Drosophila melanogaster: one gene and its partners. The protein of the gene in region 3 interacts with the protein of the main gene of each other region in a pairwise test. Each region holds a gene or a part of one and is shown on either strand. Other genes may lie near its edges. The genes, in order: Exo70, CG14456 and CG3907.

The links.
Region 1: the proteins of CG3907 (region 3) and Exo70 interact in a two-hybrid assay, tested with the Drosophila melanogaster proteins (one large-scale study listed by BioGRID).
Region 2: the proteins of CG3907 (region 3) and CG14456 interact in a two-hybrid assay, tested with the Drosophila melanogaster proteins (one large-scale study listed by BioGRID).

What each region holds. Positions count from the first base shown.
Region 1 is NT_037436.4:8,407,010-8,418,627, reverse strand, and holds Exo70 (exocyst 70), read right to left. Parts: upstream 6,778-11,618; 5' UTR 6,668-6,777; coding exon 6,620-6,667; intron 6,582-6,619; exon of another isoform or gene 6,567-6,581; coding exon 6,401-6,566; exon of another isoform or gene 6,331-6,400; coding exon 5,819-6,330; exon of another isoform or gene 5,803-5,818; intron 5,617-5,802; exon of another isoform or gene 5,554-5,616; coding exon of another isoform or gene 4,900-5,553; exon of another isoform or gene 4,525-4,899; intron 4,411-4,524; coding exon 4,346-4,410; intron 4,284-4,345; coding exon 3,553-4,283; intron 3,494-3,552; coding exon 3,171-3,493; intron 3,102-3,170; coding exon 2,968-3,101; intron 2,913-2,967; coding exon 2,810-2,912; 3' UTR 2,718-2,809; downstream 1-2,717. Other genes in the region: CG32354 (uncharacterized protein), read left to right, coding at 769-1,789, 1,846-2,043, 2,105-2,648; mtrm (matrimony), read right to left, coding at 4,900-5,553; Oseg1 (outer segment 1), read left to right, coding at 7,135-7,199, 7,283-7,513, 7,585-9,039, 9,101-9,583, 9,642-9,916, 9,970-10,117, 10,175-10,375, 10,437-10,557 and 3 more; CG13667 (uncharacterized protein), read right to left, coding at 11,340-11,618. UniProt on the Drosophila melanogaster protein: Required for exocytosis. Thought to function in intracellular vesicle targeting and docking before SNARE complex formation.
Region 2 is NT_037436.4:22,682,631-22,690,970, reverse strand, and holds CG14456 (uncharacterized protein), read right to left. Parts: upstream 3,750-8,340; 5' UTR 3,587-3,749; coding exon 3,521-3,586; intron 3,459-3,520; coding exon 3,144-3,458; intron 3,082-3,143; coding exon 2,821-3,081; 3' UTR 2,683-2,820; downstream 1-2,682. Other genes in the region: CG14455 (uncharacterized protein), read left to right, coding at 3,888-3,965, 4,031-4,537.
Region 3 is NT_033778.4:24,019,398-24,029,084, forward strand, and holds CG3907 (uncharacterized protein), read right to left. Parts: upstream 2,902-9,687; 5' UTR 2,836-2,901; intron 2,743-2,835; exon of another isoform or gene 2,715-2,742; 5' UTR 2,585-2,714; coding exon 2,393-2,584; intron 2,145-2,392; coding exon 1,979-2,144; intron 1,923-1,978; coding exon 1,606-1,922; intron 1,544-1,605; coding exon 1,358-1,543; intron 1,301-1,357; coding exon 1,169-1,300; intron 1,113-1,168; coding exon 987-1,112; intron 925-986; coding exon 841-924; 3' UTR 501-840; downstream 1-500. Other genes in the region: Rsph4a (radial spoke head protein 4a), read left to right, coding at 1-435; Xxylt (xyloside xylosyltransferase), read left to right, coding at 3,177-4,553; Ak2 (adenylate kinase 2), read left to right, coding at 4,922-5,023, 5,503-5,739, 5,803-5,970, 6,035-6,250; EbpIII (ejaculatory bulb protein III), read left to right, coding at 7,618-7,998; HSPC300 (haematopoietic stem/progenitor cell protein 300), read right to left, coding at 8,618-8,727, 9,217-9,337.

The DNA of each region.
Region 1 (11,618 bases), on a different chromosome or scaffold from region 3:
AAAAAAAAAAAAAAAAATAAGAAAAATGGACAAATCAACCCAAACTAAACCAGCAGTTCCACATCCGACCAAAGACAACAGAAATGTTCGGCGCCGGAGGCAATTAGTGTGGAAATTTCACTTGCAGTTTTTAGCACAGATTAAGCTTACGATTTCTGGAGGGGATTAGCATGAACAATTATAGATGGAGGTCGCTGATAGTCCGTATGAACGAAGCGAGTGTATTAGCTGTGCTCAAACCACAGCCAAAACATAAATGCCATTGTGTCGTTTTACTTGGAATCGAGATTTGAAGACGGGTAACATTTGCCGTTGCCGTTAGTAAAAAGGGAAAGAATTATTCAAGTTAATGGCTGGTTACTTGAGTCGGTCATGCGATCACTCCAGAATCAGAGACTGGTCTCGGATGCGGGGGAGTGTCGGCGGGTGGCGGCATGGACACAGTGGGTCACAACTGCGCAAAATGCCCTATGATCGTGCGGCTAATCTGACATTTGTATGCCCACAGTTGACTCTTCCGCATGCCACCGCTAAAGAGCTGTGGAAAATGCGAAGGGAAAGTTTCATTTGGCGGTCTCGAAACAGAGTTACCCTGGGAAAATTCGATGGACAACCGGTCATTACGTGCGGGGAAGTAGTAATTATTACTAAGCTTTGTTTAATAAGTTCATATAACAGAGGAGGAGGAACTACTGTCTTGCTTTAAATGTTTAGAATTAAGTTTCTAGATAGAAACCAATTAAATTCTAAAATCATTTCCATCCACAGGCGCTGTGACAGACTCACCCATCAAGATTATCCGGCTGCCGGCGCAGGCGCCAGTTATCCGCTATCGCAGTGCAGATGCGGCGCCCAACTCATTGCTGATCAACTATCGTCAGGATGCGCGACCGGAGCTGTCGTCCACATTGATGCAGGCACCCGGAGCGGCGGCAGCTGCCTTGGAGTCGCTGCTGCGCGAGGAGACGGAGCAACAGCAGCTGTCACAGATGGGCAGACGGAATAGGGCTAGTAACACCGGCACCGGCAACTGTCCTCGATCCTGTCCACCGAGCATCACCGTGGGAGCTGAGCCCGTGTGCGGCAGCGATGGTCTGATCTATGCGAATATCTGCGAGCTGCGCAAGAAGACTTGCTCCCGCAGTGGAGTGTCGCTGATCAAGGACGTGCGGGATGGCTGCGAGAGGTCGAAGGGTTCGGACTGCAAGCACCGCTGCAGCACGGAGAAGGATCCAGTGTGTGGTACAGACGGAAGGACCTATCTGAATCGCTGCATGCTGAGGGTGCAATCGTGTCGCGTGGGATTGGCTGCAGTGAAGCTATCGCATGTGGGTCCCTGCAGCAACACGAGTGCCGTGCGTGAGTCCTGTCCGGTTGACTGCAACAGTGCGCCGAAGGATGGACCAGTTTGCTCATCGGATGGCAATGTATACAACTCCACGTGCGAGATGAAGCTGAAGACGTGTGGACAGGGTGTGGTGAAAACCAGCCGGAAGCACTGTCAGTCCACACGAATGTGCAGGGAATCCTGCTGGCGTGTGGCGAGGCCCACTTGCGGATCAGATGGCAGACTGTATGCCAGTCCGTGCAAGATGCGCTCTTCCAATTGCGGCAAGCACGTCTTTGAGGTTCCCTTATCCTACTGCATGTCGCAGGAGAGGCACGGAGCCTCCGATGCCTGTCCCACGGAGTGTCCCAAATCGGATACGGATTCCTCGTCGCAGTACGTGTGCGGCAGTGATGGCAACATATACTCTTCGCTGTGTGAACTCAAAATGCTCAATTGCGGGTGAGTTTGGATGAGATAAAAATGGAATATAACCAGACTAAAATTTTATCTTTCAGTCCACAGCGCAAGTCCATTCAAAAAGTGAGCATGGACAAGTGCAAGAATCGACTGACCCGCTGCAAACAGCTGCCTCCTTGCAAGGACTTCAATAGCTTGTTCGGTTCCATCTTCAGCTCGAAGCGAAATGACAAGCTCTGCGGCACGGACGCCAAGACTTATAACAATGAGTGCGAACTGGCCCACGCCACCTGCCTGTGAGTATCCATGATAGGATCATCCATAGGACATGGATCTAGCTCTTCAACTTCTTTTCAGACGCGGCGTGAATCTGGCCCACATTGGTCCCTGCACGGATCTCAATTCGCCCACCAAGGATTGCGGGGATGCCTGTACTCGGGCGGATCTGGAACAGCAGCCAGTGTGCGGCTCGGATGGCAACACCTTCGCCTCCATGTGCGAGTTCAAGCGGCGCACTTGCGATCTGCGTGTGGTGCCCGTTTCGCTAAAGAATTGCGCTTTAACCGCCGACTGCGAATCGGATTGTGATGCCCAGCCGCCAAGTTTCGTCTGCGGATCGGACAACAACTTGTACAAGTCCGAGTGCCACATGCGCAAGGAGAATTGTGGCAAGCATGTTTTCGTGGTGCCACTGAAGCGCTGCCTTGCCGCCTTTCAGCTTAAAGGATGTGCCCGCATCTGTCCCAGGGAATTCGAGCCTGTTTGCGGCAGCGACAATAAAACGTATCTGAACGACTGCTTCCTGGAGATCGAAAACTGCAGGGCGAACCAGACGGTGAACGTCAACTACTACGGCGCCTGTGGCCGCCCCGAAGCACCATCCACTAACTTCCTTTACTAGGACGTATGTATGCGTGGCGTCTTCATTTCACTTGGCATTTAATATTTGTAGGCTATAGTCTTGTATTGTACTTTTTTTAAAACGATATTTATTGAGTTTGAATTAAAGCCCCCCAACGAACTTACAAGGAATGCACTTAAAGCCTGGCCTGCATTTAACATCTAAGCCGAATCATCAAAGAGCTTGCTCAGCATAGCGTTGATCTCGTGCTGTCTGTACTTGACGTATTTGTCGGGATTCTTACTAAAATGCACTCCAGAGTAACTAAAAATGATACAAGATGGTTAGGTATAAGCTGATAAACCCTATATACGCTTACATTTCGTAGAATCTATTGTAGATGGGCAGTATGTGCTCCACATTATCACGTTTGATGCCTTCTCGCAGGATCACATCGGGTATGGAGATGCCCCGCTGGATTTTGCATGCCTCCTCAAAGTCCTTATTGAAGTTCTGGAAATTATAGAGGATGTTTTTTTTTAAATCAAGAAAGTTTAGCTTATTTTAAAAATAAAAACCTACAGAAAATCTCTCTTTGAGCACACTGCGATCCTTATCCTTGACCTTGCCGGCCACTGGTTTGGGCAGTTCATCCAAGGAATAGATGCCGACCAGCATCTTGGACCAGGTCTTTTGATAGCTAGCCTTCAGTTCACGTATCATCTCCATGTAGCTATGTTCGCACTCAGGCTCAGCCAAGGTGACCAAATCAATAAGATTGGAGCGTTGCAGCGACTTGAGGATATAGTGAATGTTATTTAGTCGGAAGAGGTGCTTGGTGGCCTGGTCATTGTACTGCTCGCACTTGTTCATTATGGAAAGATTCAGTTCGGCCAAAGCTTTCTCTGCAAAATATAGATAGTGGTTTAAAAATGTTCGCACAATTGATCTTGTTGCCACTCACTTATGTAAATCGCCAAGAGCGCCTTATTGCGTTCCTCGACTGGCAGCGCCTTCTTCATCAAAATGGTGTCCAATTGCGTGGAGTACAGGACATCCTGTGCCAAAATGGAACCAATAACATCGAAATGATCGTACAAGTGCTCAATAAACCAGATCGTATTGGAGGTCAGCTCGTGCACGGTGGCATCCTTTGGAACATTGCTTTGGCCCACAATATTGGTGCTCGATTCGCCCTTGACTACGTCCAGGAAATGCTCCAATGCCTTGGCACCGGTGTGCTGCAACTTTTTTAGTACTTTTTTCAACTGTTCCCTTTGCGCAGGATCGTATGTGCGGTCAATATCCGGCTGCAGCAGTATAACCCGCTTTAGGGCGGAGAATATTCCCAACGCCGAGGTCCACTCCTTGCGGGAAATGCAGCGCAGGATGCGTTGCGTAATGGCCTCAGCGTCCTTAACCACCAGATCGATGGCATTATAGGCCAAGGTGGCGAATACCTCGTTGTGTTTCGACTGGGGAATAATGTCGATCATGATGGCTCGCTCCCAGTTAAGTAACCGCTGCAGTCCCAGCAACATGACCAGATACTTGTCCAGTTCCTGATCGCCATCCATCAAATCCTCGGAGGTCAGGTGGTCGCTGTGCGATGATGCCTTCTTAATGGAGAACCCTGTGGACTGCTCAATCGTCTGCGTCGCGCGTAAATATAACTTGTTCGCCTTCTTTTCGAATCTATGCAGAATAAATTAAATATATCATATACGAAAACTTGGAAATTAAGTAATATTTCTCACATTTGCTGAAGACGAGCGGAGGTTGTCTTTTTTGGCTCCGTTTGGCGTCCACTGTGTCGCGGTCTCTGCAAGAAAACATTTTAAAAACATTAATTTGAATTGTTAATTGCCATTGCATTAATGTTTCTTCGGAATAATTAAGGTACTAAAATGGTAGCAAATTAAAAACTCTTATTTTTGTAACCTTTTAATATGCATTTGATTCTTATGAGTTTATTAATTTTAAAAATGTGTGTTTTACAAAAGCGTTTATACCCCAATTTTTTTTTTTTTTTTTGACAAAAAGTATTATGCAATTTGCTAGCTTACGAAATAAATTTAAATTTGTAAATGAGCTTCGGAGCAACATTTTAGGAATTACATAGATTCTTAAAGTGTACTAGAGTTTATTATTTAAGGCTAAAAACGACGAGCTTTAAGACACCAGGTCTTTTACAATAATTCTAGAATACCTACTTAATTATCCACATATATTAAAATCACAAAGTTTCTCTTCACATAAAACATTTTAAAATCTTAGTGTATGATAAAAGATGGACATGCCAGCGATTCACTTAAAGAGTGTGGAGCACATCCATGATACGGTTGCAATCCTCATCGGTATTTAGGCCGATTTTAACAAGATCAGCACGCTCCAAGGATGCCAGTTCCACCAGATCGATGTGAGCCTCTTCGAAATTGGTCACATAGTTCTCCAGGCCCATGTGCATGAGAATCTGTTCCACATTGGCGGCATGGTTAACCACGTACGAGTGGTTCGATGCTTTGATGGAACGACGACGCGACTCCAAGGCCAGTGAGGTCTCCATATTCGAGTCATCCGAACAGGTATCCGGGCTGCTGCAGCTCTTTATTTCTCGCTCCGGCTCGATGATCTCCTCCTGCGGCTTGGGCAGCACGAATGGCGGGGGCTTAAGCTGAGTGCGATGGCAGTGCTGATGCTGCTGCTGCTGCTGCTGCTTGGGATGCACCTTCGTTGGCACTTTCTTGAAGGTAGCGAACCGCATGGGCGACACTGGACTCTTCCCCTTCGTGCCCATATTCTCGATGGGCGAGAGATTGGGCGAACGGAAGTTGCCAAAGATCGGAGTAGAGCATCGCACGTTGGAGGTGTTCACCTTCAGGGTGTTCCATCTGCGCTCCTTTAGCGTTGGCGTGCGATTAAGCGTAATTTTGGTCTTGTTCGTGGGCGTGCGAGAATTCTCCATTTTTTTTAGATACTGTGACACAGAAAATGATGCGTTCTTTGCGAATTCAAGCTGGCAAATGGCGGTCATCGAATTGGACATGTAATGCTTACATGCACAAGCTTTTTCGAACAGACACCGTTAACCGAAACGATCAGAGATGGGAAAAGCATACATATGCTCATCATCGTACACATCGCTATTCATATTCTACTACGTACTATTTTTCTCCACATAATATATATGTATTAATACTAGTTAGAATATGAAAGAACTGTTTACTCACCAGAGCCTCGTGACCCCAACTGTTGCTCTTTTGGTGATCCTTGAGCAGCTGCAGCGATCGGAGAACCACTTCGCCCCGTTCCGTCGCGTAGATGTTTGTGTACTCCCTTAAATTTTGCTCCAACCAGTGCGATATGGTGTACAGCTCCTCGCGCGTCGTTTGCGAAAGCTGCCGGAATGAGGTGTATTCATCGCTGGAATCGTCCTCTATGTAGATAAGATCCAGCAACTCCACCGGCTTCAGCGGAGCACTGTGCTTCTTGAGGAGCATACTATAGTGCTGACTCAGGCCTTCGCAGCCGGTGTTAAACAAACTGGTGACATTCTCCAGCTCCACGCTCTGGGAATTGTTGTGCCGGAAGTAATCGTTGGCATCGCGCAGTTTGGCTAGTGCGTCGAGGAACACCGAGATGTTTCCCTCCACCGGGCCTTGATGAATCAACTGGCAGACCTCTTGGGAGACATCGTAGTGGGACAGGACGCTTTCCAGACAATTGAGAGTAGCTTCCAGATCTAAAAAAAAAAAGAGGCGGTGACACATTAGTTTTTTTTTTTTGAAATCCCATTGAGTTTATTTTCATACTCTGCTGCCGTTTCTGGAGCTGCTCCGTCTCCTGGTAGACGGGCAATATGGTCTGCTCCAGGTTTCCCAGGCGCTTCTCGAAGATTGTTAGAATACTGGACATTTGCGTGGACAGATCATGGTATTTATCCACTCGATCTTTCAGCAGAGCTAAATTGGTGGCTTCCTATGAGGAAAATGGGTAAGTATGGAGGTTTTGAGCATGACAACTAGACATACCTTCTCCAATTTATTGTGCGCCTGCAATGAACTGTCCAAATTGTTCATTTTCAAGCGTATATGTAGCTAAAATCCTTTAAAAACAAACAATAGTTCTGATATAAAAAACAATTCTATTTTATTTTGTTTTGACGAAACTAGGCATTTATGCACACTGGCTTTGGTCATACTGTCAATTACCGCGTTGCCAACTACTTTGCACGAAAAAAAAAATTATAACGGTCATTTCAGATAGTAATAGAAACTTTTTTTAAATATTGTACACTTAGACAATTAGGTAAACGATAATGAGGCTATGTTTTAAATAAATTGTTTTTACTACTAGTACTAGTTTATTAGTCAAGTCCTAGTTTTAAAAGCCAAAACTAACGGAAAAACCCGCCAAACTGCCATCTCCAGCCAAGACGCCAACTTTTGTTGTGGTTGGTTGCCATGGAATCTGTGTGTAAACAACGCACCTGCATTTAGGAATTTCTACCAACTATGCAGGATTAGCCAATTCGACTTCTGCAACAATGAGGGGTGTTCTCAAGTGGCTGGAACGCATAGAGTTTCCCAATAGCAAAGACAATGAGATCAGGTAAAGCTTTCTCATTCGTGGAAAACAACAACCTGTTGCTTGCTATAACGCCATAACGGTATTTGCAAAACCCAATTTTCCAGTGTCCACAATGTGTGCTACGCACCCGATGGCAGCCAATTGGTGGTGGCTGCGGGGGATCGGTTGCTCATCTACGATCCAAACGATGGCTCCTTGCTGAACACCTTGAAGGCGCACAAGGATACGGTCAATTGTGTGGCCTACTCGCGGGATGGCAAGCGGTTCGCCAGCGGAGCCTCCGATAAAATGGTCATCGTGTGGTCACCTCAGCTTGAGGGACTGCTCAAGTATTCGTGAGTTCTCAGCACACTTGCAATAAATTCTAGTTTTTTATATAAATATAAAAATATATTTACATTCATAGGCACGGTGACTCCATACAGTGCATGAGCTTCAATCCTGTTTCGCACCACCTGGCCTCGTGCTCCTTGTCGGATTTTGCCTTTTGGTCGGCTGATCAGAAGGCGGTGCAAAAGTACAAGATATCCGCGCGTGTCAATGGCTGCTCGTGGACCAATGATGGACAGTACCTGATCCTGGGCCTGGCCAATGGCACCATATCCATTAGGAACAAGTTGGGCGAGGAGAAGGGGAGAATCGATCGGCCTGGTGGGCCCAACAGCAACGTCTTCAGTGTCCAATGTTGTCCGGCCAGCGGTCCTGGCAGTGTGGACACCATCGGTGTGGTGGACTGGAGCCAAACGCTATCCTTTCACACTCTGAGCGGCCAGATGATTGGCAAGGAGCGAACCCTGGGCTTTGATCCCTTGTGCCTGCAGTACTTTCCCAATGGGGAGTTCTGCCTGGTGGGCGGCTGCACTGGAGGTCTACACTTCTTCACCAGGGAGGGCATTCGGCTGGGTACGTTGGGCGATACCTTTGACACCTGGATCTGGACAGTTGCCCTACATCCCAATGGTCAATCCTACACCATTGGGTGTCAAGATGGAACCCTGGCCTGCTTCAACATTGCGTCTAGTACCGTGCATGCCCTCTACCGCGAGCGCTATGCCTTCCGGGAAAACATGTGCGACGTGATCATTCAGCACCTGATCTCTGGCCAAAAGGTGCGCATCAAGTGTCGAGATTTAGTTCAGAAAATAGCCATTTATCGGAATCGACTGGCGGTTCAGTTGCCGGAACGTGTGGTTCTCTATGAGCTGAGCTCTGGAGAGGATCAACCCATGCACTATAAAGTGCGCGAGAAGATCCAGCAAAAGTTCGACTGCAGCTTGCTGGTTGTTTGTGGCCGTCACATTGTCCTGTGCCAGGAGAAGCGTCTCCAATGTCTGGATTTCATGGGTGTCCTGCAGCGCGAGTGGATCATGGACTCGTTCATAAGATACATCAAAGTCACCGGTGGCCCCGTGGGAAGAGAAGGACTAATGGTGGGCTTGAAGAACGGCCAAGTGTTCCGAATCTTTCTCAACAACTCACTACCACTGCTCATCACCACTGCGGTGTCAGCGGTTCGCTGCCTGGATATCAATTCGAAGCGCAGCAAGATCGCAGTTGTGGACGATGTGGGTCGCTTGGTTGTGCGGGACGTAATCAACGATACAATTTTGTACCAGGATACGGGTGTAAACAGCGTCACTTGGAACACGCACCTGGATTCGATGCTCTGCTATACCCACACAACAGGCGGATTAAGCGTTCGCGTGGGGAATCTGCCGCCGAGGGCACCACAGAACATGCATGGCGTGGTGGTGGGGCTTTGCGGAGCCACTGCCTTCTGCCTGCGCGGAAATATTATGCACAATACGCCTTTGGCTCTCGGTTCCACCATGTGGCAGTTCATCGAAGCTGGATTGTTTGAGTAAGACATATTCCAATTCTGCTTGGAATCTCCTAATAAAAGATGTTATATTTTATTTCAGCGAAGCCTACCAGGTCGCCTGCCTGGGCGTGACCACCAGCGACTGGGAGGGATTAGCTCAATCCGCTCTGGAGGCACTGCACATAAATATCGCTCGCGATGCCTACGTCAAGGTGAGGAATCTTCCGTGGCTCAAACTCATCGGTGAGCTACGAGATCAGCAACAGCGATCGGCGGTTCCTAAGGAGGTACTTCTCGCAGAGAATTGCGCCTTTGCCGGCAAGTTCAAGGAGGCAGCTCGTCTATTTCTCAAATGCGGCCAGTCCTCAAGAGCACTTGAAATGTACACAGATCTACGTATGTTCGATTTAGCCCAGGAGTATATTAAGGACGGCACCGACCAGGAGAAGAAGGAACTGGTACGCAAGCGAGCGGAATGGGCATATTCGGTTAAGGAGCCACGAGCTGCTGCGGAACTATTGCTTTCAGCTGGCGAAAATCAGAAGGCCATTGATATTGTCGCAGAGCAAGGATGGGCCGATGTGTAAGGAAATCAAGAAAATTGCACACATATCGTTTATAATAAACCTAACTTCTTACAGGCTTTACGATATCGGACGACGACTGAGTCTTACGGAACGCGATTCCCTGGAATCGGTGGCCCAGAACCTAAAGACCCTCAAAGCTCTTCCCCTGGCTGCTGAGATTTTCAAGAAGCTGGGCGATGAAGCCCAGGTGGTGCAACTGCACATCGAGGTACGCGACTGGCCGGAAGCATTTCGTTTGGCGGAATCGCTGCCGGAACTTCTGCCCACGGTGCACTACCAGCATGGGCAATGGCTGGCCGAAACGGATCAGTTTATAGAGGCGCATCAGGGTGAGTTTATAACTTTTGTTATGTTTATTTAATATAAAAGTTTTACTTTTCAGCCTACATAAAGGCAGGACGCACCAAGGAAGCCAATCGTTTGCTTAAGCAACTGAGCAATACGGCCATCGTGGAGGAGCGCTACTTGGATGCGAGCTACTTTTATTGGCTGCTGGCCAAGCAACATTTAGATGTATATCACGCCAAGGAGTAAGTGAAATATTACAATCAGTGCACTTCTTAATTTCTAAAACTTTTGTTTTATAGAGAACAAAATCCTGTTGATCACCACCTTACGGAGTACAAAAATCATTTACGTGTTGCCAAGGTTTATTACGCCTACAGTGTCATATACTCATATATGAAAGAACCATTCACCACACATTCCCCAGTTAGCCTATTTAACGTAAGCCGCTTTATACTAAACGAAGTGGAGCACAAAGGTGTCCCCAAAGGTGTCAGCATGTTGTAAGTTAAGAGCTCAAATCGCAAAAGTAGAACGTGAATCGACAGAAATCCTATCTTCCAGTTCGGTTCTCTTCACTCTGGCCAAGCAAGCTAAGTTTTTGCAGGCCAACAAGTTATGCCTTCTTATTAACAAGAGACTGCAGTCGTTGAAGCCACCAGCTGGAGTCCAAGAGCAGATTGATGTGAGTGATGTGAAAACATTAATCATCCAAATGATATGCTTATGAAGTACCTTTTCAGCTAAATTTTCTAAATAGCAAGGCTTGCAAAAGTGGCTTCAATGATCCGGAGGAGCTTTTGCCACTATGTTACAAGTGCTCCAACTACAGTCAACATTTGAATAGCAATTGCTGTCCCACTTGCCGGCAGGATTATATTTTCTCTTTCGTTTCCTTCGGTATGGAATTTTGTCTATTAGCTTAGATATCTGATAATGATGATGCCTCTTTTTAGAAATTCTACCCCTAGTACAATTTTATCCAGAAGTGGATATCTCTGATGCCGAGGCGGAGCGCTTGCTGCTGGCTCCTGCAAAGCACGCCGAGGATTCGGATCCATTTAACGAGGATGTGGCCAGTGCATTGCCTTTGAGCTTGGATCGCAATGGCCTGCGTGCCATAGATCCCAATCATGTGCTGATTCTTAAACGGAGGGGAAAGAATGTGCGGAATGTGTACTATCGTAATATATTACCCGATCTTCAGGTTACCTATTGTCCTCAATGTCTGCTGGTAAGGTTATACAAACCACATCATTTCATTTCGTATATTAAGTAACCCTTTTTAGCTTTTCTATGCGGAGGACTTTGAGCTGCAAGTGCTGCAAAAAGGTCACTGTCCCTTTTGTCACACATCCTCCGAAAAGCTGATGGAAGACTTTTGAAATCGACATAAGAAGTGTGTGCAAATATATAATTTCCGTCCAAAACTGTACAAATAGGAACTATACGCAAATAAATACGGTGTTACGCCCAGGTTTCCTCCTGATATCGTCGCTGTTTTATCATTAGTTCCACGTAATCGGCATCGCCATCTAGTATCTCGATAAAGGCCTCTTTGACAGACTTTGGCATATTATTGGAGTTGCCAGCCACGTAGATATAGGCATTCAGGTCTTTTATAAGCCTCGCCAGATGAGCACCATTCTTGGCGATTAAATGCTGGACATAGACCTTCTGATCCTGATCCCTCGAGAAGGCAGTATGGGCCTCTACCTGTTTCGCATCGGTCCAGGTGGAGAAGTC
Region 2 (8,340 bases), on a different chromosome or scaffold from region 3:
GCTTCCACCGCAACAGGGCATTGGCTTTGTACAAGATTTAAATGCGCTAGAAATTGTTTGAACTAAGCTCTGGAAACAGGAGATTTATTGTCCCGAAAAGGAAAGCTCTCCCTCCGCAGTGTACCACCACACTGCCCTTGGCATTATCAACGAATTCAATAAACCTACAGCAGAGGCAACAGTTTCATGTCGTGGACATTGGAAACGGGAATTGGATGCCTAATAACATCGGGATCTGTGATTTATACCAGGCCAGTGTGAAATGCTAAAACATTTCCTCAGCTGCAAGCTATGTGAAGGTCCTCTGTTCCTGTAGCAACAACTTAATGCGCAACAACAAGCTGCGATGTTGTGACCAATTGAAAACTCCACCAAACGGCAACGAAGCTAAAAAAATATTCGGCCAGCTGGGAAAGAGAAATGTTTTGTTTAGCTTAGTTTCCTTTTTTGTTTGTTCAACTAGAGACTCGAGGCTCTGAAATTGTTTAGCATGTCCTTTACTATTCAAACAATTTGCATATCCTTTTAGGGCAGCGAGTATACTTAAGAAATCAGCAACAACCATAGCAGAGGGCCGAGAAATCCACAGCAGGCATACCAACACGACAGTCAACCGAAATCCAATGCCAGCTCAAGAATTCCGGTTGGGATCACAGGGAGTACTTGTAAAAACAAGGCGAGGTTTCAATACACTGCTCGCTATATTATCAGACCCCCTTAAAAGATAAGATAGACACCTCTACTAAGTAACAAGCATTACTTTCATATGGCTCTACACACTTGTATTTTATTTCAATTATCAACGATAACTGTTCTTTAATTTATTGGAGTCCTATTAATTGGTACTTAATGTGCCTTTGCGGTATTTTCGTTGGCAAAGACAAAGACAAGTGGTCGTGATACTCTGTGAACGGATATTCCCGCCTCGACAGGGTATTCTTTAACACGTTCGAGGCGAGTCCGGAATGCCCAGCTCAATTGTCATAGGGAAGTTACTTTGAAATGGTGGGATGTGGGGCGCAGGCGAGACGTATTCGAGTGAGAAGTGAGTGCAGGCGGATCCTTGGTGCCATTCCTCGAACTTCGACATCGTCCCCCCTCTTGACCAGTTGCCAGCCATAATATTTATGCGCAGACGTTGCTCCATAAGCCGCTCAAGGATTTATTAGCCAAATGGGAAGATTTGACTGGCTGGCTGAAGTGCTTCTCGGCTGGTCTGTTGGCCACGCTGGCATATGTGCGGCTCTGTCGTTCACTGAGAAAAAAATTTGTGAAATCGGCTTTTAGGGCTCCATGCCACACAGCTGAAAAAATGATTGTTTAACAGTGCAGCAACCTCAAAGTCGCGTTAGAGAAATTCGCATTGTTTGGGCTGAGTAGCAGCCGAACCATTGATGAATGTTTTCAAAACGTTAGCATTGAATGACAATTTTTCAAGATTTACTGGACTGTAATCAGATAAGGACGAACCCTTTAGGGTCCTCGTAGCGGAGGATGGAGGCACAGCTGGGCGACTTCGACAATGAATTTCCTTACACCGGGGTCCCCCTTGGGCTCTGGGGCGTTATGTCGCTTTGTGTGGCTGTCTAATGGAGCTTAAATGGCCGCTGGCTTGACCCCTGAACTTTTTCTTGGCAGGAATAAAGTTTCACGAGTTCAACAAAGTGAAAACAAATGCATTGTGCGGATTAGGTCGAGGATGGTCCAGGGTAGGGAGCTTAGCACAAAGACATTTACCTTTTACACCTCTTTTTGGTGGCTTCTGGTCTGGTAATTGATAAAAGTTGTTTGGGGCAGATTTGTCCAGAGATTTGTATTATCATTCCGGGCCTATTATACCCGGTAATTGAAATTGAACATTTTATTGAGGGGAATCATCGAGTCGGTTAACGAGGCAGAGGCGCCGAGAACTTTTTTGCATTCCTCATTGTTACTGTCGTTTTATGGCTTCCTCGATAACAGCCACACTGCATCAATATGCCAATCAACAAATGACCAAATAACCAAATCCAAAGCTCGGCAAACTCAAACTCGCATAAATCATACCAAGTGGCACCTTCATTTGGGCAAAAAATAGCTAAAAGCGGTTTAAAATTCGCAAACTGTCATTGTCGGATCACAATGGGCAGGGCACAAGTCACAAACATTTCGTTGCGACTATATTGAATAATAATTTGATGTTGTGGGCCTCCTGTTTCTCTCGAATCCGTACCATTTTAATTCAATTTGGGAATGGTTCAAAAACACGAATCCCGCCGAGTGTCGAAATTCGAGAGCAGCACGTGAATAATATAAAAAAATTTATTGTCATTGATGATGGTTTTGCAGGAAACTGACAATGGGCAAATTCTATGAGCTTCATAAGCACTTTAAACGCTTCTTTCAGTATTGAAAAGAAGTTATAAACAAAAATGTCTTCTTTCAATTAAATAATTACAATGTAATATAGTGCAAGATAATAAATATTCTTAGTATAACTTTAAAGTCGTTTAATAGTTATCAACAGTATTCTTTTAAAACGAAGTAGATAAAAAGGGAATGTTGCAATTTGGATACGACATGAAAACTATAGACGTTGGAAACTTTTTAATTTCAAGTTATGTAGTTATCGCTCTTTCTTCCCGAATTTAACAATTCGGTAATTAAAAAATCATGCGACCCTTTAAACAAAATCATTGGTTTGCTCTTTCTGCGGCAGCTTTATTTGCTTGCTATCTGGATAACACGAAGTGACACTGACAAACATTAAGTAAATACCATTGGGACACGCGACTCAGATGGGTAGCTCATTCCGGGGCAGGGCCGAGCCTAGCGGGGCTTCTAGGCGATTTTGGGCAGCATTGCGAAGATGCCGGGCTTCAGATTATTGACGTCCTGGACGACGAAGTCCCCACCGAAATGGTCGTTCATTATCAGCGTGCGCTTCTTGCTGGCGTCCACGTGCATGGCCTGCCAGATGATCTCGAACTCCAGCTCGGGCAGCATGGCGGTGGTTGGGTCCTCTGGCCACCAGAACTTGTTGATGAAGTAGGAGCCCTGTAATTTGCGTTTTAAATGAATGCGGTGCCAATGGTATCGGCCCTAGAACGTGACCGAGAGTGGGGGAGGGTCAGCTGGAACCCTGACAAGAGTGCTCCACTCACCTTGGCGATTGGGCAGGTTTCGACGATGTTGCCGAACTCGCGGATGAATCCGTGCACGAAGCGCCCCACCGGTGACTTGTTGGCGAAGCCCAGGATGCGGCAGACATTCAGCGTGGTGTTTAGATTAGTGTTGTAGTACGGGTCCTGCTTGTTGGTGATGCGCACCTCGACGTGGATGTCTACGTCGTGCAGCTCCTGGTGCACCTCCATGGAGAAGTTCAGATGCGGGTCGCTGTTGTCGTAGACCACCTTGTGGCTGACGAACTTCTCGTCGCTCCAGAACTTGATGTCCTTGAACTTGGGTCTCATCATTTTCTGGAATAGAAGCCAGCTGAGGGATTAGTTCAGTGGCAAGGCGCTACTCTGCGAACTCTCACCTCGGCCAGGGAGCCATGGCACATGGCCATCAGGACGGGAACCAGGACCGCGGTATACAGCAACATTATGGAACGACTGCAGTAAGCTGTCTTCACTGTCTGGTTTTGTCCGGCGACGGCACTATTTATATGCAAATGGGCTGAGCGATTTTCAGTTCGATCTTATCGGAAATTGACTACGTTTCGAAACAGCTGAATGCTTTTCCAAAGTCCACCCACTTAGTTGACTTAATTCACCACGACAACGTGGCTGGGCCTAATGTTCGGAGCGCTTTGTCGCCCAGTGGGGCCTGACTAATTCTAATTGCATACATATAAAAACTGACTAATTGAATAAGAGCCAGCCTCAATGGATAGTTGGAGCAAGATGCGTAAGGAGGTCATCCGAAGCTGCTGTGCCGTGGCCTTCATTTTGGTGGCTCTCATGCCCTTGACTGGAGCGTGGGTAAGTTGGGGTGGATCGGGCTGGTGCGGGACATGGGCACAGTTCTGATTTATTGCCTTCGCCAGCGCTCTTTCAAGGTCATCCTCACGAGCATTGACTTTGAGGCCAACGACAAGTTCCTGGACCTTAAGGTCGATCTGCAAAACGATTCGGGCGAGTCAAATCTGAGCATCGATATAAAGACGCACCAGGACATAGAGGACGTTCAGCTGGTGGTAGACTTTGGTTTGGAGACGGACAAGGGCAACTACTCTACCCTGATAAACCGTACGCTCAACTTCTGCAAGCTGATGAAGCAGCGCAACTCGGATCCGCTGGTGCGCGCGATCTACGAGGACCTTCTCAAGCACGGCACCCTCTTCAAGGAGTGCCCAATCCGGAGCGGCACCTACAGCCTAACCAACTACAATGTGGACGAGGAGATGCTGCCCAGCTTCCTGCCGGAGGCTAAGTTCCGCTTCGGCATGAAAATTTCGACGGACAAGGGCGGCATGATCGTACGGTCGACCATCTTCGGCCGCATCGACAAGTCCAAAGGCTTCGACAACCTGAAGCGGTTCAGTCTCGGCTAAGATACATATACCTCGCATGTTCCTCATGGTATCTCCTGCCCGCAGGAGATCCAATAAAGTTTTGATGCGCGTCCAACACTGCCTCGTTTTAGTATTCAAACTGCCTTTTGTCGCACCATTGACGTCGTCATTGTCGCCTCGTCTTGTCCTCCCATCTAACCGCCCCAGCAATCCTCCTTAGCCGCTTGTCACGTGTTTGCCTGCTCGACTGCGAAATTCGCATGTTTACCCGACGGTGACAAGCTGTCTGCAGGCAGCCACCAGCAGCGCAATTGATGACGACGATAATGGCGTCGGAGGGGCTGCTGATGAGCAACAGACGACAATGATTTAGGGTGTGTGTGGAGCGCAGAGAAGCTCCATGCAAATGCATATTCCGACGAGATGATTGGGCTGATACCAGTAGGGGCGATAGTCGTAGATAAGGTATTCACATTCACACAGAGAAAGAAATACGGGTCTTTATCTTCCAGCACTAGACTAGACTGGTCTAATAAAATTGGGATAATATTAAAATCATGAATATTCACTTAAAATGGAAACGTGATAATTACATAAATCTTTACACATATACTATTAATTTTAATTTAACTTGCTAATGCATTTAATATAATTGAATCTTATTTATGGCTTACGTTTGTAAAGTGGATTTCCTCAATTGCTGTGATACCGTTTTAACGTTAGGTAAAACTAAATTTTGAGTTGAAAGTCAGTCTGAATCAAGTGTTCTGTTCCTCATTTAGGTATTTTCCCCTGAATGCGGCACAGCCGCATTGTTGGCCCTTGTTTAACTATCTCGAATTACCCAAACAGGCCACGTAAGAAGGCGTACGACTGCAGGGGAAGGAACTTTCCCACAAGTTTGAGCGCGATAATAAAAACTTGCGAATGTTTAACATTTTTCGCGAAGCACAGTCCTAGAAGGGGCATCTCCTGGCATCCCGCATCCCATCCCATCCCTTCGCGCCGAATCTGTAATTAAGGATGCACTGCACATCGCTCGCGACGAGAGTCGTTGACAGCAGCTAAAGTCGCGTTGAGTCCCGTGAGTCACTCGATGAGAGGGAAATAAGCAAAAATTTCTACCCACACCATATATCTAAGCGAGCTCGCATCGAGCTATAAATCTTCAGTAGGAAAGTGCAATAACTTAGAAGAGAGCGGCTCCTTTGAGCTTCCCGTTCAGTACATAATTTCGGGGCGCGAACTTAATTGCGCGACCAGTACACGTCAGAGCGTTACTTTGAATAATGGATACTTTCGGCACTAAGTCCAACAACTCGCAGGTTGGTATGGATCTTCATTGGGCCGTTCGCCTCGCTTTAGGGTCCATAAAAGCGAATCGAGTTGGCAAGCACCGTTTGCCGTCGAAATCTTCCATTTCCCACTTTCCATTCCATTTCCACCTCTTACCCCACTTCCCACCTGGCGACCTTCCGCCAACGGATGACTGCAAATGAAATTTATGCAATTTTCGATTCGGTCAAATTGTCCAAATTAAATTTGTTATATAAAAATGTTAATTTTTTGCTGTCCTGCTCAGTTGAGGTGCTTATTTTCTGCATTTGCTGTGGCTGGTCTTGTGTACGCATTTCAATTATCGACATTTGAGTGACTTTTATTGAATTTATTTGGTTCGCTTCACCTTCGACGCTTGTTCACCAAATGAATTGGAAGCGAGTTCGTGCTTTTTCGGCTTTAAGGTTATCAATTATTATTGTCACATTGTCGCATATTGACTTGGGTTCTCGGGGACTGGGGCTTAAAGAGCGCGCTGGGTGGAGCTTTAGTAGTCCCAAATCTCAAATTCCAATCAGGTTCCAAAATAAAAGCCGATTCTATTGCCATTGGCGTTTGAAATCCGTTTCCAAATTGCATTTAAATAGAGTTCTTCTGGAATAACCGGCGCATATATTGTACCAGAAAGGAACGCGAATTGGGGACTGGAAAAGTGGGTTGGATATGCAAATCGATCGCAAGAAGGAGGGAATATTGATGATTTGCACGTGAGTGGCGAATACTTCGCTGGCGCAATTATCGATTCTTGGCTATTATGAAAGACAGAACCCAGTTATGATTAGGTGGGATCGATGACCTGCTGATAGCCTGCTGATTTACAGCGGGTCTCCTATCTCGATTAGATCATAACTCTTTCGTGCAGCGACGCCTCATACATCGTAATATGGTCAATACCCAAGACCTTAACCACGAAATTGAGTGAATCCGGTCTCAGTTCTGTGGGTTAGCCCTGTCTGTTCGGATTCGCTGGTCGGTGGATCTGCAATCGAAATCACAACTTTTGCACCGCACTCGAATGGAATGCTAATGACGCCCTCGGGCGGTAATCACTGTCGGCAAAAAGAAAGGGGAAATGGTGTTAAACTATATTTGAAGTCTCTCAGGGTCTTTGAATTGTATATTTGTATATTCAGAGACCTATGGCGAAAATTGGGACCGTCCTGAGTTCAATGGCCTGGCGAAAGTTTCTCCCCCCCACAAGAGCTTAAGTGAATTGAAATTTAAAGTTTTCGCAAATGCCGCGGGCTGAAGATTGTTCAACTATGAAAATCCACTCATAAAATTATGTTAATTCTGAGGAACGGGGCGAAAAGGATTCTTATTAAATCAGGCCGAGCCGAGGGACTTTTGCTGGGAATAGAATAAAGGATGAGGCATAAGTAGCATAACTGACAGACAATCGACAAACAAACAGATTGCCAAAAATAACAGGCGACTACAGTGGGCAACAGTGTCCCAAGTGAATCATATACAATCCTCCGCTTCTTTGCGAATCCTTGGGGTAGTGCCAGTCAAAAACCTTTGGCGTTGCTCAATATTTGCACTCCGAGGCATTTGCCAGCTGAGAGTTAATTTCCACAGTCCTGGCATCTCTGGCTCTGGTTCAGACATCATGAAGGGCTCGGCAAACAAAGGCTGAGCGAATTTCGTAATCAGTTTTTGCCAAAGTTCTTAATGCATTTAAAATAAAGTGATATCTCTGGGCTTACAAACTCAGCTGCGAGTCCCCGCGGCGAGTCCCTTGAGGCACCACGACTCCTCGGTCCACACTTGAAATGCGCATAAAAACTGCCTGAAATCGAAAGAATTTATTTGGTCTTGCACGCAAATTTTATGCTCCTAAGAGCCGCCAGCAATGGTGATGAGGAATGGGGATGGGGTTGGCGTGGACGAACTTATTGCAATTGCTACAAATTTTTACATAAATTTACGCCATGACAACGTTCCTTATGGCTCCTCTTCCGTGTCCTAGTTCGCATCGCTCTTACACCCTGGAATTATTCAAGGGCCGTTAGTATTCTCCCTGTTTTTATGAGTTTTTTTTTAGCTTTCTGTTTGAGTAATTTTTTGCCAGGTGGATTTCCACTTTCAATTGTTTGGGGATCTGCCGTTGGCGTCCTGGAGGTTTACATATTGCTCATTTCAGCATTTCGCCGGGGAGCGGTGGGTGTGGCAGGGCAGTCGGCTTCCTCTTCTTATTGCCGCTGCCTGTTGAAGTGTAAACATTTTCGCAGAAGGTGTAAATAAAATCTTGTAAAGCGATGCGACTGCCGCCGGCATCCTTTGGCGTCTCCTGTTATCCTTGGCGGAAGTCTGCTAAGCTGCTGCCGCTCCTTGATTGCTTGTTCCGTTTGCGATTGGGGAGGTCTGAGTGTCAACAAATTTTCGCAAATAAGCCAAACACTCGGCGGAATGGTGATGGAGCTAGCGGGGGGTTCGCCCCTTCGCCCTGTTCATTCAAATCCGTTGCGATCCAAATGACAATGACCAGCAATTGGTCTAAT
Region 3 (9,687 bases):
GGCTTCAATCAGCCCGAACTGGGTCCCAGTATCCTCTCCTCCTGTGCCAATGACATGAACCCCGAGGTGCCAGTTTCCTGGCTCGCCCGCATGACCAGCAAGTACACGAATCAGAAGGAGCGAATGCTCGTGATGCAGTCGAACGTCTGGCCAGGCGCCTACACGTTCATCTTTGAGAAGACCTGCGAGTCGATATACTTGGGCTGGGGCCACAAGTACTACGCCCGCAATATTCCCTTCAAGCACTTGCCGATGGTGCAGGAGGAGTTCCCCCACAACCCAGAGGACTTCGTCGAGGCCAACGATCCGACTGTCGAGGAGGAGGAAGCTTACAAGGCTTGGCTCCTCCGGAAGCAGCAGAAGGCCGAGTATGTGGCCGAAGACATCGAAGACTACGATGATGACGAGTTCGCCGATCAGTATGACGACGACTGAGTTAAATGAAATTGCTTGTTTTTATGTTCTCATTCAAGTTCTGCAATAAAATGTATTGGCTTTGTGAGCTTTAGTTTGATTTATTACTTGCAAATAAAATACATATCGTGTATCTAAAGTGAATAATGTTGGACTTACACTTACTTCGCCCCCCCCATATGTACATTTACTCTTTCTAAACTTAACTGCTTAACTGAAATCACACGTGCACATCGTCATCCTATAAATTGTCATTAAGTTAAATAGCTCTTCGAACCATATGTACATTGCAGTTTTCGTGTGCAATAAATGTAATTGTAATTTAGTTATCGTTGGCTGTAACTCGGACACATGGAATCCATGAGGTCTTAATGGCTAAATACGGAATCGAACAAATTTGGTAATACAACGCAGCAATGCAGCAGCTTACAGCTTCAAGGATTCCTGAAGCTTCACTGTAGCATTTGCAGACGGCTTTATGACTTCCTGCTTGACGGCAATCGCTTCGGGCTGTAATCGAATGTTGAAACTCTTTAGAAGATAAGCAATCATACCTATATTATAATTTATACCTTGGGGACTACGGATCCGTCTTCGCTGCTGGGTGCTTTAATATTGCCCATGCTCTGAATGCAAAAGTTCTTTAGCTGATCCACGGAAGCGGCCAGCATATTGTTCTTGTTGTTTGCCAGCGTTATCTGAAGTTTATCAAGTTTAGTACATCTCTACCTGTAATCATGTTCGATCGACCTACCTCTTTCTCAATTCTCTCCAAAGATTCATCGAAACTGGTCACTTTCTGTTTATATTCCGGCCAGCTGTTACTTATTGTGGCCACATGGGACGTAATGTTTTCAGATCGATCCAGCAGGTCGTCTATTTTCGTCTGCAATAAATAAAGCAAATTAGAGCTGATAACGCAGCAGAATTTGGAAGAGATTACCTTGTGCAGAGATATTTCCTCGCTGAGGATTTTCGTTGTTTGACTTAGGGTATTATTCACATTCTTCAGATCGTTGGCCAGTAGTTTAAATGAATTAAAAGTGGTTTTGTTCAGCGCAGCAATATCATCCGATAAGTTTGCGGGTAAAGCGTTAGCCTGAATCGTGGGTAGCTGTGAGAGATTGAGCTGCAGGAGCAAGATGTTCATTACTGTGTTGATACTCAGCGTATACTGATAGCGAGACCTACCTTTAAGGCTTCCGTTTCGGCCTGCAGTGTTTTCTGCACCTCGGTGTACTTATTGTAGTGCTCCTTGATGGCCTCTATGTCGGTGGCGACGGCTTCTATCTTGGCCCCGAAATCAGCCACCAACTTCTCGTCCTTGCCGTGGTTTCTTTGCGCTGCCACGGCCGCCTCCAGGTTGCTAAAGTTGTTCCGCAGGCTCTCCATTGATTTTTGCAAATCATTTATTTCCGAAATGACGGCTGTTTGGTTCTTCAGCAGGTAGGACGAAGTCTCGTGCCATCTTTGCAGGGTGTCCGGGAAGTTCTTGCTCATGGCAGACACTGAAAGATTACATAATTAAGGACGCACTGTGCGTAGCAGACTGTGTACACCATACCCTCCTCGATCTTCTGGCGATAGTCGGTGAGTTGCTGGCGCAGATCGAAGTAGAGCCAGTACAAAATTCCCACAATCAGAATGCCCATAATGCCGAATAGAAGCGGGCCGCACATGCGGAAATAGGCTATTTTTCGATGGCTGCGGCGACTGCCAGCGACATTTGTCTGAAAAGAACGCAATATTATTGGGTTGCTAAATATTTCACTCTTTGCATGGTGGGAGGCACATATAAGCATGTACATACATGTATGTGCGTATAAATTCCCAATGAATGTGTATCTTCAGATACTCGTTAGCTGGGAAAGTTCAATTGGGCAGGTTCAGATACATAGATACAAATACAGCTAACCTTGTACTTGATCGAGTATGTGAGTAGCGATGTAAGCAGCAGAGTAGCGTAGAAATACCTTACCCATGCGTAATCCTCAGGGTCGTCGGTCGAGACGGAGAGCAGCTTGTCCTGGGAGTTGGTGCCTCCGGGGACTCTCCGGTTGGCTCTCTTGCCCGAGGACGACTGGGAGGCTATCAGGGCGTCCAGCTCCCGACGCTTCTTCATTTTCTTTCCGGCCCGCAGGGGCACTTCAATGCGATGGTGGCAGTCCATGGGGTCGTCTTCTAGAAACTCTGGTCTCCAGTGGAATTCTTGCAATCGGTCGCAGGGCTGGGCTATTACATTTTCTCAGCGTAGCCCAGTTGCTTTTGTAATGCTGGAGCAACCATAACATGTACTTATACTGATAAAAAAGATACTTCTGCGCATGATTTCAGATTACGGTGATTAAGACTAATCGCTGGTTATCGATAAGCGATGAAAGTTATTTTGGAAATTAAATTGGCTGCCTATGCTAAATATACCTTTTAAATGAGCTGCTTTTGAAGTACATTTAACTTGGATCCTCCGATAATGATCAATTAAATTGACCCAAAAAGTGGGGGCGTTCGATAGGTTTGGTAATTTCCGGATTCGTAATAACGGTCTCACTGCCCCCAAAAGACTTGCATTGATTTTTACGCCGTGCTCGCTTTATCGATCTAGTTTAATTAAGTTCATAGCCGTCAAAAATGTTCTGTGCGCTTCTGCTCGTCTGCTCAGAGTTTCCGTTTAGTGTTTTCTAACGTTGGCCTCCATATGTCCCATAATATGTTCGTTGACGCCGACGTACTGTTGCAATAGGTACTCCTCCGCTGATTTCGAAATGGCCAAGAACAGCTTTAAGACTTTAATCAGCCAGAAACACAAAACGTTTCCGGCGGACCTAAATATGTACGGAATGAAGTGTAAATCGCAGCTGCTGGAGGATCAGGAGAACGTGACCCTGATCATCAATCGGCGGAACTCAATCCGCCAGAAGCCGAAGAGTTGGGCTTGGACCCTGCTGCGTTGCAGGTGGCAAAAGAAGCTAGTTCTCTTATTAATATTTATTTGTGTGTGCGTTCTGATTGTTTTCGCCAACACGCATCTCTTGGTTCGCGGCAACATCCTCTCGGCCTTCCTCTCGAGCCGGCTTAACAAGCATTCGCACGCGGAGAAGCAGGAGGCGAGGTATCCCGACATCCCGGCCACGACCCCGTCAGTTCCCCCGGTGCTGAGGCCCACGCACTATCTGCTCAACTACTCCTCCACCCAGCTGGAGCTGAGCTCGCACTTGAACGGTCTGTCCTCAGACTACAACATATTCGTCATCTACACGCGGGAGAACTACCACTTGAACCTTAAGTTCGACCTGTTCGCCCACAGCTTGCTGAAGCACACCAGTGCCCAGCTGCATCTGCACGTGATCACGGACAGCGAGAGCCAGCCCTCGGTGCTGGAGATCCTGCAGCGACAGATCAGGCGGTTCCGGCGGACGGTCATATACACCATATACGACGTGAAGGTCTGCTCCAGCATCATACAAGACATAGCCGCCAAGTTGTCCCCGTACTTCAGCTCAACCCCGAACTCGTACTACAGCGACTCCCTCTTTTTCCTGTCCCTCGGCCTTCACAGGATCGCCGACAGGAGCCTAAACAGAGCCATTCTGCTAGATTGTGATATAGTCTTCCGATCCGATGTCCGACTGCTGTTCAATGAGTTCGACAACTTTCTGCCGCACCAGCTGTACGGACTGGCACCGGAACTGACCCCCGTCTACCGCCACATCCTCTACCGCTATCGCGTGCGCTATCCGAAGACCAGTTTCGGGAATCCCTACTATCCGATCAACAACGAAGGGGGCAACCAACATAGCCGTGTCCACCACGGCTATCCAGGCCTGAACTCCGGCGTGGTCCTGCTGCTCCTAAACCGCATCCGTAACTCAAAGTCCTACCTGGAGAAGCTGACCCACTCGGAGGTGCACACCCTGGTCGCCAAGTACTCCTTCAAGGGCCACCTCGGCGACCAGGACTTCTTCACCCTGCTGGGATACGAGTACCCGAACTTAATCTACAGACTGGACTGCATTTGGAACCGCCAGCTGTGCACCTGGTGGAAGGATCACGGATACTCACAGATATTCGACGCTTATTTCCGGTGCGAGGGCAATATTAAAATGTACCATGGCAACTGTAATACGCGAATTCCAGAATAAATAAAATTGTTATAGGAATATTAAATTAATTAAATGCAGGGTATTTTTATTTGGTATAACTATTGTAATGGAACGTTATGTAATATACGGTGAATTTAATCTTAGTTTATAGACCATTATAAATGGTGATATATAAAAATGAAATTTAAAGATAAAAGACAGCCCACACCTATCACCATTTAAAATATCAAAACGATGTAAGAATGTTATCGATAGGCGAGAAGCAACAGAGTGGGAATATGCCGCACAGGGTGTTTCGTGTGAATGATTTCGCCTCTTGTTTCTTATCTTTAACCTTCATTTCTGGCTCCGTTTGGCTATGAATTAGGAGCAGTCCCGAATAATCAGTCGAGCATACGTAGTTAACGATGGCGCCGAATGCAGCAGTACCAGTGGAGCGATATGAGCCTGAGAACATCGGGATCAACGCCATTCTCCTGGGGCCGCCGGGTTCCGGCAAAGGAACGCAGGTGGGTCAAAATTACATAATGATGTGTTTTTTGTGACACGGACGCCATGTAGTCTATAAATAAATACAACGTGTTCAAGTGCGCGGTTTTTGTTTGCAAATAATCGGTGAAGCTCGTTAATTCTCTTGGAAGAGAATTAAAACTGGTGAAGTTATATAAGACGATGTGTACATGGAAATGTATATGTATGTATCTACGTGCCAAGTATGTACATATGCGTCAAGCAGTGTCTTTCTCTTGACCCTGAATCAAATCAAAGCCTTGGCGAGATGTGGCGAATTAAGTGGAACACCTTTAGGCAATCGATTGGGTATTATGCAGACCATCTATTAAAAGGCTACCAGAACATTCCTGGCCTCAAGAAATGCATCTTATCTAGCCGATTGGTTACCTTGCTTACCTTCCGATATGGTGCTAAATTGATTAATTGATTAGCTCTAACTGAAACTTATCAATGTTTTTAATTATGCCCATTTCAGGCTCCCCTGCTGAAGGAGAAGTTCTGCGTGTGCCACCTGTCGACCGGCGACATGCTGCGGGCGGAGATTTCATCCGGTTCGAAGCTGGGAGCCGAGTTGAAGAAGGTCATGGATGCCGGCAAACTGGTCTCCGACGACCTGGTCGTGGACATGATCGACTCCAACCTGGACAAGCCCGAGTGCAAGAATGGATTCCTCCTGGACGGATTCCCCAGGACTGTCGTTCAAGCTGAGAAGGTAGCCACACGTGTGAAGCACTTTGGACTTTAGGTTATAATCCGTTCGAAACGCACTTTGCAGCTCGACACATTGCTGGACAAGAGGAAAACCAACTTGGATGCTGTCATCGAGTTTGCCATCGACGACAGTCTGTTGGTGAGGCGCATCACTGGCCGCTTGATCCACCAGGCCAGCGGGCGTTCGTATCACGAAGAGTTTGCCCCTCCAAAGAAGCCAATGACGGACGATGTAAGTATCTCTATAGGACGCTATCCAAGAACTCTAAATGAAAGCAGACCTTGTGTACTTGCAGGTCACTGGAGAGCCCCTAATCCGTCGCAGCGATGACAACGCCGAGGCTCTGAAGAAGCGACTGGAAGCATATCACAAGCAGACAAAGCCGCTGGTCGACTACTACGGCCTGAGGGGTCTGCACTTCAAGGTGGACGCCGCCAAGAAGTCCAGCGACGTCTTCTCCACCATCGACTCTATATTCCAACGCAAGCGTCCTGCCCAGATCCAGTTATGATTTGTTCCTGCGCAATGATCAACTACTGATAACTGCCTCCTGACAATTTATTTCGAGACACACACAACGTTTAAGCCTAAAGTTATAGTTGCATCCGGAAATCCTGAACAAACGAAATTACCTTTGCAGGTCGACTACTTTCCTTGTACAGATTTCTAAAGTGTATGTGTTTGTTACTTTTTACATTTCACTATTTGTAACTACAATACAATTTAATAAAAAAATCGAAGGAAACAAGTACATTTTACGAGACATGACTGCTTTAAACTGGGCTGCGTTCGAATGAGGGATGGACGACGCCAAGTTCAAACTTCCACACAATTGTTTTCCGGAAAGCTTCTGGAATATGATGCGGCTGACTCAGTTTCGAATCGAGGTTTTTAGCGTTTGATGGATAGCTACTAATTGTTCCGAGAACTATTTATTATTGCAATCAACTTTAAAGCGACTATTAAAGGGTCATGTTGCACGGGTCTCAAGTGTAACAAATGAGAAATTGCTAATGGAAATCGCTAATGAGATCGTTAAATCTGGTAAACAAATAACATATCGCCAAGTTAGCCCGTCCATCGTGGCTGCGAATCTCTCGCAGAGCGACTTTCGATCGCCGTTTAGTACTCAGACGTCACCTGCCTAATGTTAATGTCAATTTAAGTGTGTATAACTATCGCACATATATTATATAAATTTATAACGACGATTGACTAATCACTGGGTTGACTTTTCAGCAATAGCGATTTTCGCTTCAAAGTCTAAAGTGTGTGCAATCCCGTATGGATACGAGCCGAGCTCGAACACAGGCTCACAGCGCGCGGTTTGTGTTGTGTATTACACTTGAAGTTCAATCCCAGGTAAAAAGTGGGCCCAGGTATAAAAGCCCACTTCATAGAAACATTTCTCAGTTAGTTCCAGCAGCTGAATTGCTTCACATCTATTCGCTCCGAGTCGCCCCACAAGTCGAGCCCCATTGTAAGACCACCGCACCGTTTATAGTTTTTGGAGCCGATCGGCTCGGCTGGTCGACTGGTGGCTGGTAGTAGTCCACACACTCATGGACGCAGCCAGACGGGCAACCAGTTTCATTGTGTATAAACAGTGACATCTTTTCAGACAGCGAATGTGTTTCAGATACGCATACAAAGTGGCCTGCCTGGCTGTGCATTAATTTGCATACAAATCCCATAAGTCCACAGATACATTTTGCGAATGCAGTCGCGCTCGATGGCTAGTAAAAATATTTTTCCATTGCCCAGTAAAATCCCCTGCGCACAAAACTGGTTGCCCGACCAACAGACCCACTAAGCCACAAAAGTGCTGATTAATCGTACAAACATACTTACCCCAATTCGCCCGCAGAAAACTCCAAGATGAAGATGATACTTGCGCTTGTCGTCCTTGGACTGGTGCTGGTCGCCGCCGAGGATAAGTACACCACCAAGTACGACAACATCGACGTCGACGAGATCCTGAAGTCGGACCGCCTCTTCGGAAACTACTTCAAGTGCCTGGTGGACAACGGAAAGTGCACCCCGGAGGGCCGGGAGCTCAAGAAGTCCCTGCCGGACGCCCTGAAGACGGAGTGCAGCAAGTGCAGCGAGAAGCAGCGCCAGAACACCGACAAGGTCATTCGCTACATCATCGAAAACAAGCCCGAGGAGTGGAAGCAGCTGCAGGCCAAGTACGATCCCGATGAGATCTACATCAAGCGCTACCGCGCCACCGCCGAGGCCTCGGGAATCAAGGTGTAAGGCGGATCCCGGTTCCGGAAACTCTTGGTTATATGCACTGTTAATTAGGTCTACGCTTATATCTGATCATCAAAATTATTTCTACGATCGTGCTCGGAATAAAGAGATTTGTTTTTTTACCATACACCTGCCGAGTATTATATCGTTATCGAAGGGGGATTTGCCAGGCTTCAGAGAGTATATAAATTAACTATGACAAATGTAGCACTTAAGTCTAGCCTCCTGCTACTAGAACGATGATTAATCTAAGCACAATTAAGGTCTTAGAAAAAACATTCACAAGATTACGACTAGACCCTAATAAGCGGCTTATATATGGCGGGCGATTTGCATTAACATTGACAATAAAGGCAGCTACGGTTAGTTGGCAAAAACATCGCGTGCTTGTCTTGGTTCTGAGCTATTACTTATATTATTCTTAAAAGGGGCAATGAATCGAATCCGATGGCCGCAAGTAACTCAGCCGTGAAAACCTTCCTTCAAAGAACAAACAAACAATGTACAGCGAATTATTAATGTCACGGCAATTCACATTGCGAATCAAAAGATATTAAATATTAAATCAGTATTTTAATTACTTATAAATGTACAAAGCTTAGTATAAGGTTGTGGGCAGCGTTTACGTTAATGTTTCACCCTGGGCGACGCACGCCTCCAGATAGTCTATGCGCCGCTCCAGGATCGTTAGTTTTTCGTTCAGCACCGCCAGACGGGAGCGACAGGACATATCTGAAAGGATATGATAGCACACGATGATACAGTTTATAATGCCAACAGTGTACATAAACCCTATTAAGGATATGGGATATTTTAGCAACCCAACTACCTCGCACTCTTTGGCTTATCATTTATCACAGTATTTAGCGTATCTTAAATTATGCATAGAGCAACCGAAAAAGCTTATCCAATTCATTTAGGTGACTAATTCGGATAGAGATAAAGCCGAATTTTCGTTTTGAGCCCTCCGATGATGTTACATACATACATTTCCATATGTATGTAGATACATATATTGCTATACATATATGCCACCACGCACAAACCACTGTTTGTTTCTATAGACTTAAGACTTGAGTAAATAAAGTCATTGTCACTGATGAATATTTGTTAGTAATATTACTTATGCGTTCACCCACACCTACAAAGGAAGTGATAATAAACACGCGCACACACACATGCGTCAGAGGGAAGTGGGTGCTTCGTATGCAGGTTGCTTACCGAAAGAGTTCAGAAAGTCGGTGATTCTCTTTATGCTGGCAGTTATCACTTCGATATACTCCCTGTTCGCCCAGTCCTGGTGGATCTGCTTTTGGATCGCCTCTCTGTGAGCCCCACTCATCTTTATTTATTCCTATTGTTTCTGTTCGTTTTAATTGTGTTTATCTAGAGATGAGAGATGGGTTGGGCCGGAACAATTATTGTCAAAAATTTGGAACTATCGATAGGCATACAATTACCGTGTTCACCGTGATTCATTGAGATCAAATTTTTACTCCAACAAGAAATTTTAATGGTGTTTTACAACACTCCCTAAGCACTACTATTTAAAAATTACGCGGGAAAGTGCGATGAAAGAAATAACTTAATATTTTTGTCTGCCAACTATAGCGTGTAAATATGAATAATAAAATAAAGGTAAATAATAAAAGTATTGGGGTAGACACAGCCGAATATATAAAGAAACTTATC